Linked DNA regions of Elephas maximus indicus. The protein of the gene in region 1 purifies or fractionates together with the protein of each later gene. This does not show direct contact. Links are inferred from orthologs where the notes say so. Each region holds a gene or a part of one and is shown in the gene's direction. Other genes may lie near its edges.

Evidence for each region.
Region 2: the proteins of ARRB2 (region 1) and MAPK1 purify together in Homo sapiens (affinity purification with western blotting; 3 studies listed by BioGRID and IntAct, with this or other methods). This does not show direct contact. The link is inferred for Elephas maximus indicus from reciprocal best matches to the Homo sapiens genes ARRB2 and MAPK1.

What each region holds. Positions count from the first base shown.
Region 1 is NC_064837.1:14,365,879-14,372,944, forward strand, and holds the start of ARRB2 (beta-arrestin-2), read left to right. Parts: upstream 1-4,050; 5' UTR 4,051-4,145; coding exon 4,146-4,168; intron 4,169-7,066. UniProt on the Homo sapiens protein: Functions in regulating agonist-mediated G-protein coupled receptor (GPCR) signaling by mediating both receptor desensitization and resensitization processes.
Region 2 is NC_064840.1:20,788,738-20,796,216, forward strand, and holds the start of MAPK1 (mitogen-activated protein kinase 1), read left to right. Parts: upstream 1-4,477; 5' UTR 4,478-4,710; coding exon 4,711-4,826; intron 4,827-7,479. UniProt on the Homo sapiens protein: Serine/threonine kinase which acts as an essential component of the MAP kinase signal transduction pathway. MAPK1/ERK2 and MAPK3/ERK1 are the 2 MAPKs which play an important role in the MAPK/ERK cascade.

The sequences.
Region 1 (7,066 bases):
AAGGGATGGAGTCATGTCTGGTGAATGGCACATGAAGGTGCTGCCACACACAGGCAAGGGGAGGGAGGAAGGGGCTGCAGGGAGATGCGTGCACAGTCACGGCTCCCCTGCCCCTTGCTGCGTGCGTTAAGGGAGAGAGTCACACCTGGCAAACGTGAACAGGGTGATGCCACCTTGAGTCAGGTAGGGGGAGGGAGGGAGAGGCTGGGGGAGCAGGACAGGACGGGACGAGACGCACAAACCACTGGGCAGGTTAAGGGATGGAGTCGCACCTAGAGGATGCATGCACAGAAGTGCTGCCTTATGCAGATTGGGGGAAGAAAGAGGGAGAAATGGGTGAGCTCTCTCACAGTCCCGCTGCCCTCCACTGGGCCCTTGGTGGGGCGAGTAGGTGGCAGGCAGGCACACCTGCGGGGGTGCACCTAGTCTTGCTCATTGGGTAGGCAATGGGGTATAGTGGGTGGGGTTAGATAGGATGGGGGAAAGAGAGTAGGCTTGTATTGTGCTTCTCCAGTCGGGCAAGGTAGTTGGTGTTTGGGACCCTCTGCCACCTCTGATCAGGAGGATGAGTTGAGGGGGAGTGCGTTCCTCCAGCTAGGATACACGGGTGCCAGGGCACCATGTGTCTGCTGCGGCCAGCGAGTGGGACCTGTCGCCTCTCAAGTTTGAGGAAGAGGGCCGCCCAGGGACCAGTTGGGTGGGAGAGCTCCCGTGGACACTCCATGGGTCCACTGCCTTGTGTGCACCACTCACCCCTGAAGTCAAGAGCTGCCACACCTGAGTATCCCAGTTCCGGATCTGGCACTCTACCTCTCTCTGCTTCTTTCTGTGTGTGTCTATAGAGGTTCTCTGTCCCTCTTGGGAAAGTTGTGAAGTTGCCTTGCTGTTTCTTCACCCAGGGTCACTGCTGGTCTTGTCCTAAGTTAGCCAGGGTGAGTCAGGATGGCTGGCTGAGCTCCTCCGTGCCGTGTTACTCCTCTTTTGCTGCTTTTCTTATTCCTTCTAATTGGTGTTCAGTTCAGTTCTTAGACCTTTTTTGATGTTCAGGGTTCCTGGATTGTTATCTGCTCCTGTTTCACTTGTTTGTTTTAGGTCTTTGGTGCAGGGGGATGTTATGGTGAGTGACTGCACCTCCATTTTGGCTCCACCTCCTGACTTTCTTTAATACCTTTCTAAAGTTGTCTTTATTGTTGTTGTTGTTAGTTGCCATCCAGTCAGCTCCAACGTATGGCAACACCATGTACAACAGAAGGAAACACTGCCTAGCCCTGTGCCATCTTTACGATTATTGGTATGTTTGAGTCCATTGTTGTGGCCACTGTATTTCAGAAGCAGGTTGCCAGGCCTTTCTTCTGAGGCACCTCTAGGTGGATTCAAACTGCCAACATTTCGGTTAATAGCTGAACACTTAACCTTTTATGCTACCCAGGGACTCATATGGCCACTGTATTTTGAGTGCCTTCCAACCTAGAGGGCTCATCTTTTAGCACTATATTGGACAATAGTCTATTGTGATACATAGGGTTTTCTGGGCTCATTTTCAGAAATAGATTGCCAGGCCTTTCTTCCTAGTCTTAGTGTAGAAGCTCCACCGAAACCTATCCACCATGGGTGATCCTGCTGGTATTTGAAATACCAGTGGCATAGCTTCCAGCATCATAGCAATACTCAAACCATCACAATACAACGAACTGACAGATGAGTGGTGGGGCTTTATATTAGTTTAATATTTAATACAGTAGTTTTTATGTCATGCAGACCACATTACCCTTCTGTCCCAATAACACTTCAGATATATAGCATTAAGTTCCAGTCATGACCCTTTGATCAGGGTCAAATTTGGATAAAAGTGATTCATGATTCCAGAGACTATGGCCCCCAGACACCCTGCTAACTCAGAAATGAAGCCACTCCTGAAGTTTACCCTTCAGCGAAAGATTAGACAGGCCTATAAAACAAACAACAGCACACGTGAGGAACGTGCCTCTTAGTTCAATCAAGTATATGAGACCAAATGGGCAACAAGTACCCGAAAACAAAGGTGAGAAGGCAGGAAGGGACAGGAAACCTGACAAATGGACACGGAAAACCCAGGGTGGAAAGGGAAAGAGGGAGAGTGCTGACACATCGCAGGGATTGTGAACAACATCACAAAACAATTTGTGTATAAATTTTTGAATGAAAAACTAATTTGCACTGTGAAATTTCACCTAAAACACAATAAATTTTTTTAAGTGATTCATGAGTCTGAAAGATATGCATGATCTAAAGCTTGAAAGGGGTGAAGAGCAAGCTTAGAACTGAGGGGTGATGGAACTGAGTGGGAGCACTCGATGGACACAGCCTGTTTTGAACCTCAAAGACGTTATCAGAAGCTGCACTGTTGTGTGTGTTACCGTTTCTTACATGGAAAAGAGGAGGGAGAGGTGTAAAGTTAGTTCATTGGGCGGGAGGTGGTATAGGAAAGGAGCCCTGGTGTCACAAATGGTTAAGCGCTCGCCACTAACCGAAACGTTGGCAGTTCGAGCCCACCCAGCGGCTTGGTGAGAGAATGACCTGGCAATCTGCTTCCGTAAAGATTACAGCCAAGAAAACCCTATGGGGCAGTTCTGCTCTGTCACATGAGATTGCTGTGTGCCAAAATCGACTTGACGGCATTTAAAAACAATAGTATGTGAAAAAGGAGAAATACCTTACCTCCATAACCCAGAAATGTCCATAAATCCATCATCCTCCTCCAAGTTCAGGCACTTTTACCCCAGCATGACTCTTCAGTCGGGCTCCTCTTTCTCCTCCCAGCTAGCTCTTTAGTTCAAGTGTTCATCATCTCCCCTTTACTAGCTTATCTATAGATAACTCCTCTCCCTCCTCATATTCTTGCCCCACTCCCTCCACCCTCCACTTTGCCCACTATTATCTCCCTAAAAAAATAAATCTCATCATCCCTGTTTTCAAAACTGCTACTGGTTCCATGTGTCCTGAGGAACCTCCTTCCTTCACCTGCTATACAAAATTCTTCCTAACCTGTTCAGTCTTCCTCTCCAGCTTCATTTCTCCTGCCGCTAAACCCACTTAACCCCACACTTTACAATAGGATATGCTTTTTGCCCTTTGCCTTCCTCACTTTCTATCTCTTTGGAATATCCTTTCCCAGTTTCTGCCCATCCTCAAGATTGTCTCCCAACGCCCCTCCTCTGGACAGCCTGCAGTCCCTTCACCCCGTCCTGGCCAGAGGCTGTTACTTTGCATAGAATTCCCGGGATCATAATACCTGTTGATGTGTCTCTTCGACAACACTAGGAAGGCAGGGCCATGTTAATTCATGCCTGGGTCCCCACCGCCTAGTGACAGGGACTGGCACAAAGTAGGATGATGGATGGGTGGGTGGGTGAATGGAAGCTGGGATAGGGAGGTGGAAAGAGAGGGGTAACCCGAGAAATGAGGAAAAGGAAGCCCGCAAAGAGCAAAGACAGACACCAGGGGGAGCTGAGACACCACCATCAAGCCGGAGGGCGGGGCAAAAAAGGCTGCACGTTCTGGGAAGAGCGGGTAAGCAGCGCGCAGTAAGGTAAGTAACGCGCAATTGTAAGCGCGCACCCACGTGTGCACCCCCCCATGCCCCTTTCCACAGCGTGCTTCCGCGCTTTCCACCGCCCGCACCACCCACCTCGCCTCCACCGCCGCTAAGAAAGCAAACAAAGGGGAGGGGACCCCTGCAGGGTCGGGATGCCGGAAGCCAATCAGAGGGCTCTCATTTCCTGGAAGGTGGGAACCTTGGTTTAGGGAAACCCAATGAGTTTCTAAGGGAATGTGGAGGGGCGGGGAGATGGGCGGGAAGGGCGGGGTGGGCGGGGCAGGGACCGTGCCCGCCGGGGAGAGCTCCGGGGAGAGGATGAGGCGGGGGCAGACCCAATCACCGCGCATGTCTGTGAGGAGAGGGCGGGCAGCGCCGCGGAGCGCGCGATCCAGGCTGACGCATCTGGTCCGGGTTCCCGGGGGGGGGCCAAAGGAGAGGGTGGAGGAGGAGAAAGAGCGGAGGGCGCGCCTGCGCAGTGGCGCGGGGAGGAGCAGGGACCTGGCAGCGAGCGAGGAGGTTGGGAGTGAGCCGCGAACCGGGCGGGCTGCGGGCGGCGGGCGTGCGCACCATGGGGGAGAAACCCGGGACCAGGTAAGGGAGGTGGAGCCACGCGGCGGGGCATGGGCGGCGGCTCGGGGCGGGTGCCGAGATAGTCCTCAGACTAGGACACCGGGGAGAGAATCCGTGGGGCCGGGCGCCTGGGTCCCTAGGGGACAGCCATCCGGGGCCGCACGCCTAGGTCCTCCAGGATAATGGGGGCGCATGCCCGGGCCCCTGTAGGAAGTCAGGACTGAAGGGGACCAGGGAAGTGGTGTCCGGGTTCTCGCAGGCATATGGGGGCCGGACGCCTGGGTTCTCTCGTGCAGGCTGCGATGCAGGAGCGGAGGAAGGAGGAGCAGGTGGCCAACCCTGAGGGGTAGTATTTGGGAAGGCTGGACGTTGGGAGGGGTGCGCCCCAGACTCGTGCAGAGCCAATAGAAAGGCTCGTGTCCAATACCCCACAGGCAGTTGTGCTGCCCCCACCTGTCCCAAGGGCCGGGTGGCTCTGCTTCCAAACTTCTGCCTTCCCTGGGTTGCTAGGAGCAACAGCTTCATCATGGGGGAGCGGAGTGCTTGGCGACCCTCCCTGATTCTGGGCCCTATCCCTTGGCCCTCGGGTGGGGGTGGGCAGTGTCTGCCCTGGGCACGCCATCCACTCCCCGGATGTTTTCTGTGCAATCGAGGCTCTTTCTCTTTACTGACACCCCGAGTTCTCTTTTTTGATCTCTAGCAAAATCCACTTCCTGTTGTGACCCAACACCCCCAAGTAGGCAGGTGTGAATCCCAGAGTCCCTGGGGACCAGGAGCAAAAGAGGAAGGGTTGGAGCTGAATATGCCTCAGCCCAGACGGGAGCAGGAATGCAGGCCAGGTGCTACCTAACCTGTCAGCTTGTTCTGTAAAATGTTTTTCAGCCCCAGCACTCCCCACCCATTGAGTATGAGAACTCAGGTTTCTGAGTATCAAGTCCACAAGAATTGGAGAGATATGATCAGGGGGAGGGAGGACTGATGTCCTGGGTAAGGACATCCACAACCCATAGAAAGGGGAAGTTGCTGACTTGAGGCCCCCAGTTTCCGTTATGTGGTTCAAGGACGGATGGACTACAGGGGGACTGCTGACTTGGCACAATTACCCCCACCCCCAGCAAATTCTGGGCCACAGGAAGTAGAGAGAATGGCAGGAAGTGCAAGAGGCATCTGCTTCTACTGCACCCCCACCTTACTGGACACCTCCCTGGTCACCCCGCACCCACCTCCTTGGCCAGCCTCAGTATACACACACTGCTCCTCCCTAGCCTGGCAGGAGGTGGCTGGGTTAGGATCCAAAGGGCAGGTGCCCCGCAGCTACTCACAGGCGATTGCTCCAGAGCCATACTCCAGTTGGCCACTTGGTTGTGGCTGTCACAGCCCTCTGCCAGGGCTCCTCATGGGAGGAAACACTTGAACAAAAAGAACAACCAGAAGCAAGTGAGGTCAAAGTGGGGGGAGAGCCTGGATGATGCCATAGCAATCAGCCCCCAAGTTGGGACTAGAGGTAGAATGCTCGTCTTAGCTGCCACCACATCTATGCTTTGTTCTCCTGGATTGGTTGGAGGTATCTGGGGCCTCCCTGCCCTTACAGCTTGGACAACTCGGCGTTTTGGGGAAGAAGGGGCAAGTGAACTTGTTATAGCAGAAACAGACAGTGGGGTTGGAGGAAGGATGGGCCTTCTGGCAGGATTTCAGCTTCCACTATCTCAGGGCCCTTTCCAGGGATAGCTGCTGAGGCCCGGTAGATTGGAAGGAGTAAAGTGGTCAGGCAAAAAACAGGCCTACAAGTGCCAAAACCAAACTTCCCTACCCTCCCAGCAAGGGCTAGAGTCCAGGCTTGTGTTGTTTCAGCAGCTGGGGGGCAAATCCCATTCAATTCAACAAACGATTAATGCCAATTACAGAGGCAGGACGGCATAGTGGTTTACTGATTAAGAGCATGGACTTGGGGCCAGACTGCTTCAGTTTGTATTTAAGTTTCACCATTTACTCTCTGTGACTTAGGTAAAACAGTTGACTGTTCTGTACCTCAGTTTCCTCACCTGTAAAATAGCGATATTAGGATTTTCATCATTGGGTTGTTGAGAGTATTAGATGAGATAAACGCATGAAACACTTCGAGCAGCACTGGGCATGGCGCCTTCACCCAATGAGTGTTAGCGAGCATCATTATCTTCATCATCTGGCTGGCATTGTGCTGGGGATGCCTAAAAGAATAAGGCCCCTAGTGCTCACAGTTTATCCAACAAGAGACAGGTGAGACACGCTTTGTGTGCTATCTCACTGCAAGTAAAGCATGAACAGTGTGACAAGAACCAAAAAAACAGAGTGACCCAGGGTCTTGACTGGGTTGCTTCCCAAAAGAGGTGACATCTGAGCTGGGTCATGAAAGATAAATGGGCTTTTAAGCTGCTGAGATCAGAGATGGGGAAAGTTGGAGGTTAATGGAGTAGGGTCAGACTTGGGTAGTTCTTATGGTGGAAGCCATTTTACGGGCAAAGCCCAGGTCCATTGCTCTTCCAAGTTGGGGCTGTCGTTGGTGCTGGGACATCTGCCCCTTTCCCCATGAGCAGGGGGAGACTAGAAAAGATGGAAAGAGGGTTAGGTGTTACTCAAACACTGCTGCAACCTGCCCATTCAGGTCCTCTGGGAAAACCTGGGTGGTTCCTGTGGCAACCAGTAACCATTAACTGTGGGGTAAGGGGGGCTACTGAGGATGGACCAAGGATAAGAGAAGGGGGATTTGCCATGGCAACCTGCTTCATGTGGTTGCGATGCTGGAAATATTAAGGAGTTGATTACCTTTTCTTCTGGGAATAATGGGAGGCGGTGGGGCTGGGCAAAGCCCCTGGGCAGGAATCCTAGGTGAGCTCTGCTTCCTGGGCTGGGAAGGGACAAAGTCCTGGTGTGGAGGTCCCT
Region 2 (7,479 bases), on another chromosome or scaffold:
CATTTTTTTCCTTTTATCTCTGGTTTTACATTCTACAGTGACTGCTTTAAAAATTTTAACTGAAAAATTATATTATTTTGAAAAATAACTTTTGTCTTCAAAGACTGAGCACCTTGCTTTTGCTACCCTCTTTCTTCCTTCCTGGTTTTCATGACAATAATTTAGGGTTAAAAGCCCTACGATTTAAAAAAAAGAAAAAATCCTTTCACAATTTCTGTCTTTCAAATTGTTTGTTACCATAGCAACAACAATTATTTGGACTTATCAGCCTCAGTCTCTGCTGAGAGGTGTTTTTATTTACTTATTTCTCTACCTTTACATAGTTTCAAGGGTCATTGCCAGTTCTTTCTCTCTTTTCATGATTCATGTCTCAGTGACTTATTGTACAATTCTGAGCAATTTTTGCAGAAAAGGGACTTAACTGCATAGTGTATTAGTCAGAACTCTGTGGTTTCAAATGGAAGAAACATCTCAAATTGTCATCAGGAATTTATCTCCATCTCTCAACTCGACTTTTCCTTGTCACTTCTTCATTCTCAGAAGTTGTTTCTCACATCATGGCATGTTTGACCCCATATTCATAACCACTCCCCTAGCACCCAGCAGAAAGGGAGCACCTGTTTCCCAATAAAACCAAACCAGTTGCTATTGAGTCGATTCTAACTCATGGCAACCCCTTGTGCATCACAGTAGAGCTATGCTTCATGAGGTTTTCAATGGCTGATTTTTTGGAAGTAGATCACTAGGCCTTTCCTCTAAGGTGCCACTGGGTGTTATTGGAACCTCCAGCATTTCAGTTAGCAGCCAAGGGACCCTTTCCTATTAGTTTCTGCAAAAAGTCTGGGGTTGAGCGTCATTGACCAGGATCAGATCACACGCCCATCTTTTAAACCAGTGTCTATGACTCTGATTGGGGAGTCATGAGTCACACGCTTACTCTTGGAACTTAGGGGTAGTGTTAGCCTTCCAAACCACATGAGAGTGCCTAAGAGTCAGTTCACCAAAGAAAAATTCGGTTGTTGCAGCCAGGAGGAGGAATTGATGCTGAGCAGGCAAAAATAACAAATGTCCATTGTTTTTTAAGATTCTGCAGATCTGTGAATTGTCACCACTCTAGAGATATAATAAAGAAGACATTCAGATGGCTAGCCATCCATCCAAGCTAGACCTTATACTTAGATGGTGGCTTAGCATGGTCTCACAGTGTTCTAGAGCCTGGATCTCACCTTTGCACTTCAAAAATTTGTTGTTGTTGTCACCGTAGCTAGATCACTGTTCCCTCTGGGCCTGGGTCATGCTAATATAACTCAGTAACTGTATACCTAAACTCCATCTTAGAATGAATAGTAACTGCCACAGACCTGAACAGGGCTGTCTGTCCTCTGGTCAGCACATGCTCCCTGTCAGAAAAGCAGAAGTGAAGCCACTTGTGGGTTGCTTAGTGCCAATGGAACCTGGAGAAAATTAGTGTATCACAGTTGTATCATGCCATGATGGTGTGGTAGTTTAAAACATGTCCATAAATGCTGGAAGAGTACAGAGAGAGCATGCTACAGGGAGAGAGATCTGTATGTGCAAAGACCAAAAGGCAAGAGAGAAGTTAAGACTAAGCTAGCTTGACAGGAGCATCGAGGGCAGAGAGCAGAGAGTAAGAGGAGATTAGGTTGGAAGGGTGGTCAGCAAAGGCCTCACTCTGAGTGTAATGAGGAGCTATCGACTTGCTCTAAGAAGGAGAGTAACTGGTCAAATTTCTTACAGAAAGAGCTTTCTAGATAAAGTGAGGAGAAGCAATTGGAGATGGGCAACCGTGAAAGCTGGGAGAGGAACTGAAAGGCGGTTGCGATAGCCTAGGTGAGAGAGCAGAAGAGAGAGAGTATGAAGCTTTAAACAACATAGAGGCAGTGGGGATGAGGCGGCTACATTTAAAACAGTGCTTCAGAAAGTTTAATAATATGTGAACAAATCACCTGGGAGATCTTAAGATGCAGATCTTGATTCAGTAGGTCTGGGGTGGGACCTAGGATCCTGCATTTCTAACAAGCTCCCAGATAATGCTGATGTTGCTGGTCTGGAGACCACACTTTGAGTAGCAAGGATTTAAGGAACCTTAAGAAATAGAATTTACGGGAGTGTGTTACCAGTGGGATGGAGGCGTGGCGGGGAGCGGGCGGGGGAGTATTCGAAATAAGGTAGAATGAGTTGTTGAAGATAACGCCCAAACTTCCAGCTTGAGTGTCTGGATGGAAGGTGATGCTATTTGTCCACAGGCACAAGCTGAGGAACAGGTTTGGGTGGGGTTGATAATAATGACTGATAACCTTTATTGGGTACTTACCATGTGCCAGGCTGTTTACATACGTTATTTATGCTGCACAACAAATTTGTGACGTACAGGTACCTCTTAAGTGAGAAAACTAAGGCCAAGGTCCTACAGATCCTAAGTGGAGCAGTCAAGATTCAAACCCTCCGGCAGTGTGAGTACACAACTTGTGCAGTTACCCAATGGCATTTTGGATATGTGGAGCTGAAGCACCTTTCCCACGTGAGGCGTCACATCAAACTGTCCAGTGGGCAGGTGGACAGGATGACCTGAAGTTCAAAACAGATATTTTGAGCAACGGGGATATTCTGGGAGGAATTAAGGCAAAGGAGTGAAAGAAATCATCCAGGGAGGGTATGTAGGGTCACAATTTACCCCTTTGGGGGTGCTATCAATCTTATTCCTTTTTTTTTTTTTTTTTTGGCGTTAATATTGCAGAGGAGGAATCTGAAGAGAAAGTTTTTAGCTTTTTTATAACTTTGTTTTTTGATTGGATGCTGTGTTTGTTCTTTACACTTGAAATTTAAGAATTTTTCCAAATTGTCTTAGAGTTCGTTTCTGCTTATTAGTTTTTCTGAATCCCAGTGAACTCACTTCCTTTCCGCCTCAGATCTTTTCAGTTATATTAATTTATATTACCTTTTTTTTTTATTAATGCCTTTAATTGATTTGTTTGGTCTTCTTTTGGGGGATGCCTATAGTTTGAATCTCCATGATGTTCTCCACCTCCATTATTTTCCCTCTTAAAGAATTTGATTCCTGTGTTCTGTATTTTTGAAAATTTTCTTGAGCTTATCTTCTATCTTGCTGATTTGATTTTGTGCACTGTCAAGTCTATTTCTCATTGCTTTGGCTGTGTTTTTTTACTTTGGTTATTGTGGTTTGGATTTCATGGTACTCTCCATTTATCTTGGCCTGTTCTTCAAAAGATGGAATGTCCCCTTCTAATGAAGAAAAAAAACTAAGTGTTTCCTAAAATTGGGTTCTGTTTCATGGACTAAATATATTTCAAAACAGAAATTTTTGGCTTTAGCACTTTATTCCTTTTCTTGCCTGCGACAATCTTTTCTCACAGAGTTAAAAAAAATTGTTTATTCAAATTTTGAGATTGACCAGTTGATCTTTGCTGATGTGTGGAAGTCCACAGTTGGTGGCTCTTGGATTGCATGTTGGCTTGGGAAGTGATTCAGAAGCAATGGATTATCTTCTCACTGTCTTAGCTATTCTTGGCTTCTACCTGCTTCAGGATTCCAATTTTTATTTTCCAATCGCTGGTGTTTGTGACTATCTTTGAGCCTCAGTGTGTCCGTCTCATTTTCTCTAAGTCTTCATGTTTTGTTTTTAGCATTTCCATCGTTGGATGTATATTTCTGGGTGTCCGTCTACCAATCCGGGTCTCAGTCTCTAGAGGCCCAGTGTCTTTCTCTGATGTCTCAACCCCACTACTCCCTAAGCCCTTACTCTGTTTTATATTTCTCCATAGTACTTATCCCAATGTGCATATTACATATATTTGCATGCCTCTTCAGTCTAGAATATAACCTCTATGAGGGTATACTTTTTTTTTTTCAGTGCCGGATCCCCAGGAGCATGGTAGGTGTTCAACAAATATTTATTGAAGGAACCTCTGTCTGACTCGCAGATCCTCTCAGAGTCTGTCGTTTTGGTCTCACATTTGTTTTACACTTTCTCAGTATGTAAATGTCTCTTTCCATCTCGGTCAGGCCTTTCAGTTTCTGTCCTTGCGTCGAAGCCTCTAAATTTGTGTGTGGGCTACAGATTCGCGGCCTGTCCCAAGCCCGGCGATGTGTGGCGCGTCGTCGGGCCTCATGCGCTGTCCCGGGTTGTTCTCTGGTTCTGTCAGGAACCCCCGCTGCAGGGCTGTCTCTGCTCCTTAGCGTCTCTCCTCACGCTCTGTTTTGTAGGACCTCTCCCGACGCCTCCTTCTCCTTCGGCGTCTCAAGGGCCGCCTCCGGCGCGCAACTCCCCCACAGCCACACGTGACCGCGCCGGCGGCGCCTCCACAGCCGCCGCAGTGCTCCGCCCTAGCCGGTCGCTTTCGCCAGCCACGCACGCCCCGCCCCCTGGCCGCGGGGAGCCAATCCGCGCGCACGCTGCTTGGCCTCTCCCCGGCGCCCTCCTCGGCGCGCGCCCCGCCCTCCGCCCGCTCGCCTGCCCGCCCGTCAGTCAGGCAGTCGGTCTGAGCGGCCGTCGGCTCTCCAGTTCGCCTGAGCGGCGGCCTCCATCGTCCTTTACGGTCAGCGGCGGCAGCTGCACCGGCTGCAGGCGGCCCCTCCGGGAGGCGCGGCGGGAGCCGAGCGGCAGCCGCGGAGCGTCGAGTCCAGCGCGGCGGAGGCGGCGGCGGCGGCGGCGGCGGCCCGGCAGCCAACATGGCGGCGGCGGCGGCGGGCGCGGGCCCGGAGATGGTCCGCGGGCAGGTGTTCGACGTGGGGCCGCGCTACACCAACCTCTCGTACATCGGCGAGGGCGCCTACGGCATGGTGTGGTGAGTGTCCGCGCCTCCCGCGGGCCCGGCCGCCCCACCGGCGCGGACACAGCGGCGGCCTCGCCCGCCCTCGGCCTCTCGTGCCGTGGCGACCCCGACCCCGGGCTTGGTCGCGCGCCGGCCGGGGCCTGGGCCCGGGCGGGGCCTGGGCGTTGCTCACGGCGCTTATCTGGCCGGCCTTTGCTCGCCGAGAGGAGACGGGGGGCGGAGGCCTGGAGCCCTGGCCCCCCGGACCCGGCGCAGCAGCGGCTTTAAAGCCCGGTCCCCAGGGAAGGGACGAAAACGTCGCCCCTCCCTCCGTCCCTCCCCAGTTTGCTCGCCTCGTAGCCTTCTTTTTGACGTTCGATTTTAAAACCGGGAATTCCTTCCGATGCTTGTCAGTGGAGGTGGCGGTGGCCTTGAAAGCGGTTCGCCTCGGCTTGTGTGCAGAAAACCAACATAATTTATGATTTTTCTTCTCTTGCTTCAGTTTTCCACGAACGGCCTTCATGAAATATTTTCAGTGGTGCTTAATGGTGCTCTCCTGCGCAGGCTTTCTAAAAAGCATTAGTGACACCAGTGTGGGTTATGGAATATTTCAGTTCCTAAGTTTTAAAATGGATTTTGATATCGTACTGTTAGCGTTTCACGAAGGCCAAGTCAGCCTCGCCCTCTTGATCTATTAAAGAACCTTTTGGAGTTGGGCCTAATTTGACGTTTTTTTTTTCATTACCCCAAGTGCGCTCTCTTAACTGCACGAATGCATCGAGCTGTTTTAGCAAAATGACTGGGCTTTTCTCGTCAATATTTTAGCGGTCAGTATAAATATATGCAGCCTTAACGGGGTTCTCGTAGAACCACGTATAGTCAGTCTCCTTCATCTTGATCCAGATCCCTCAGAAACGTTTGTGGAATGAGAGGCTGTGTTGTTTTTATTAGCCCGAACTAGCTGTAGTGTTTTGTGCTGAGGAAGACTTGTAGAAGTGTAGCCTTCCTTACACCTAAATCTTCTTGTCTGTGTTTATGTTTGATGAAGAAAGCAAACTGGTATTTATTGAACACTTTGTGGCAGGTATTGTGCTAATTACTTTATCTCATTTTATTTGAACAGCCACCTTGAGAGGGAGGAAAAGGCAGCAGTATCCGTCTTTCATAGGAGCGCCGGTGGTGTGGTGATTAAGCACTTCGCTGCTAACAGAAAGGTTGGTGGTTCGAACCCACCAAACCCTCCAGCCACTCCACTGGAGAAATATCTGGCAGTCTGCTTCTGTAAAAATTACAGCCTTGGGAACCCTATGGGGCAGTTCTGCACTGCCTTACAGGGTCACTGTGAGTCGAAATCGACATCACACAGTGGGTTTGGGGTTTTTTTTTTGCATCCCTCTTTCAGGTGAGAATGCATTTCTAGGTAAAGTCAGTTACGAAGGTCATACAAGTAAGGTGTCAGACTTCAGATTCAGTCTGAGATCCAATTTCAAATGCTGCTGCTCTTTCCATTGCACCCTGCTTCCTTAAATAGTATTATTAATAATTTCAGAATTCTAGCATGTTTTACTGTTACCAGCAAGTCTATTTCTGAAATGTATTCAAATTTGAATGATTATAATTTTAGAAATGACATAGGGGCCATGTTTTATGAAGTTACTTAGCTAGGTAGAAAGACTAGTTAAAATTATTTCTTAAGAGACTTTATTGAATCTTGAATATCTTCATTCTCTGCAGGAGCAAAATGCTTCACAGTATATAACTGCGAAAGTTAACATGAATTCATGGGGTTAGGAGCCAAAAAAGAAATTAAATTAGGTCAGGCCTAAAAGAAATAAAAAAAAAAATAGGGCCCTATAAAGTACTGGAGTCTGCCCACAGCATTACGTCTGTGTCTGCATTTCGCTGCCATTAACACCTGCTGGTAAGTGTGCCAGTGAATGTGTCTCATGAGAGGCTCAGAATTGCCGACCACATCCTTTGGCCCTTCTTTTTAAAATTCACTCATCTAAAATGTGGACTGGAAAATCTTTACATTTCTGTTGAAAGTTATTTTTCTACCTGATAAAATTTTTATCAGTTTGAATACGATTTAACTATTTCTATCGCTGCTGTTGTCTTGTTTGACCTTCCGAGTTGTCATTCAAGTGAAATATTAAGTCCTCTTACTGTGACTTTCCTTTCCTAAGTAAAACTCAAATATAAATAGAATTTGAATCCTGGGTCTTAGCTTTTTACCTTCAGGTTGATAAAATACACTAGTGAGAATTTGATTTTCTACACAGCATATTATTAGCATATAATAAATGTTGATTAACTGTTGGGTTTGTGGAGGGTTTCTTGGTTGAAATGTTAATATTTGAATAGTGATCTTTTAAAAAACCTAATGTTCCAGAAGGATTTTTGGGTATTCTTTAGCAGTTTTTGTCATTTCCTGAGTCAGGTCATTAGGCATTGTGCCTGTTCTGTGCAGAGCCCTTTCCTAATAATTGTGTGGAGGATATAAAGATGGAAGAGTGGGATTTGAGTTGGGCCTTTAAGAGTGGGTGTGATTTTGATAGGCAGATAATAGGAGCAAGTGACAGCTTGAGCTGCAGAATCTAATCCTGGAAAAGTACTACTTAAGTGGCAAGCTGTGTAGGACTCTGAAGGCCAACTGAGTTTGACTGTAATTTTGTGTAACTGGGAA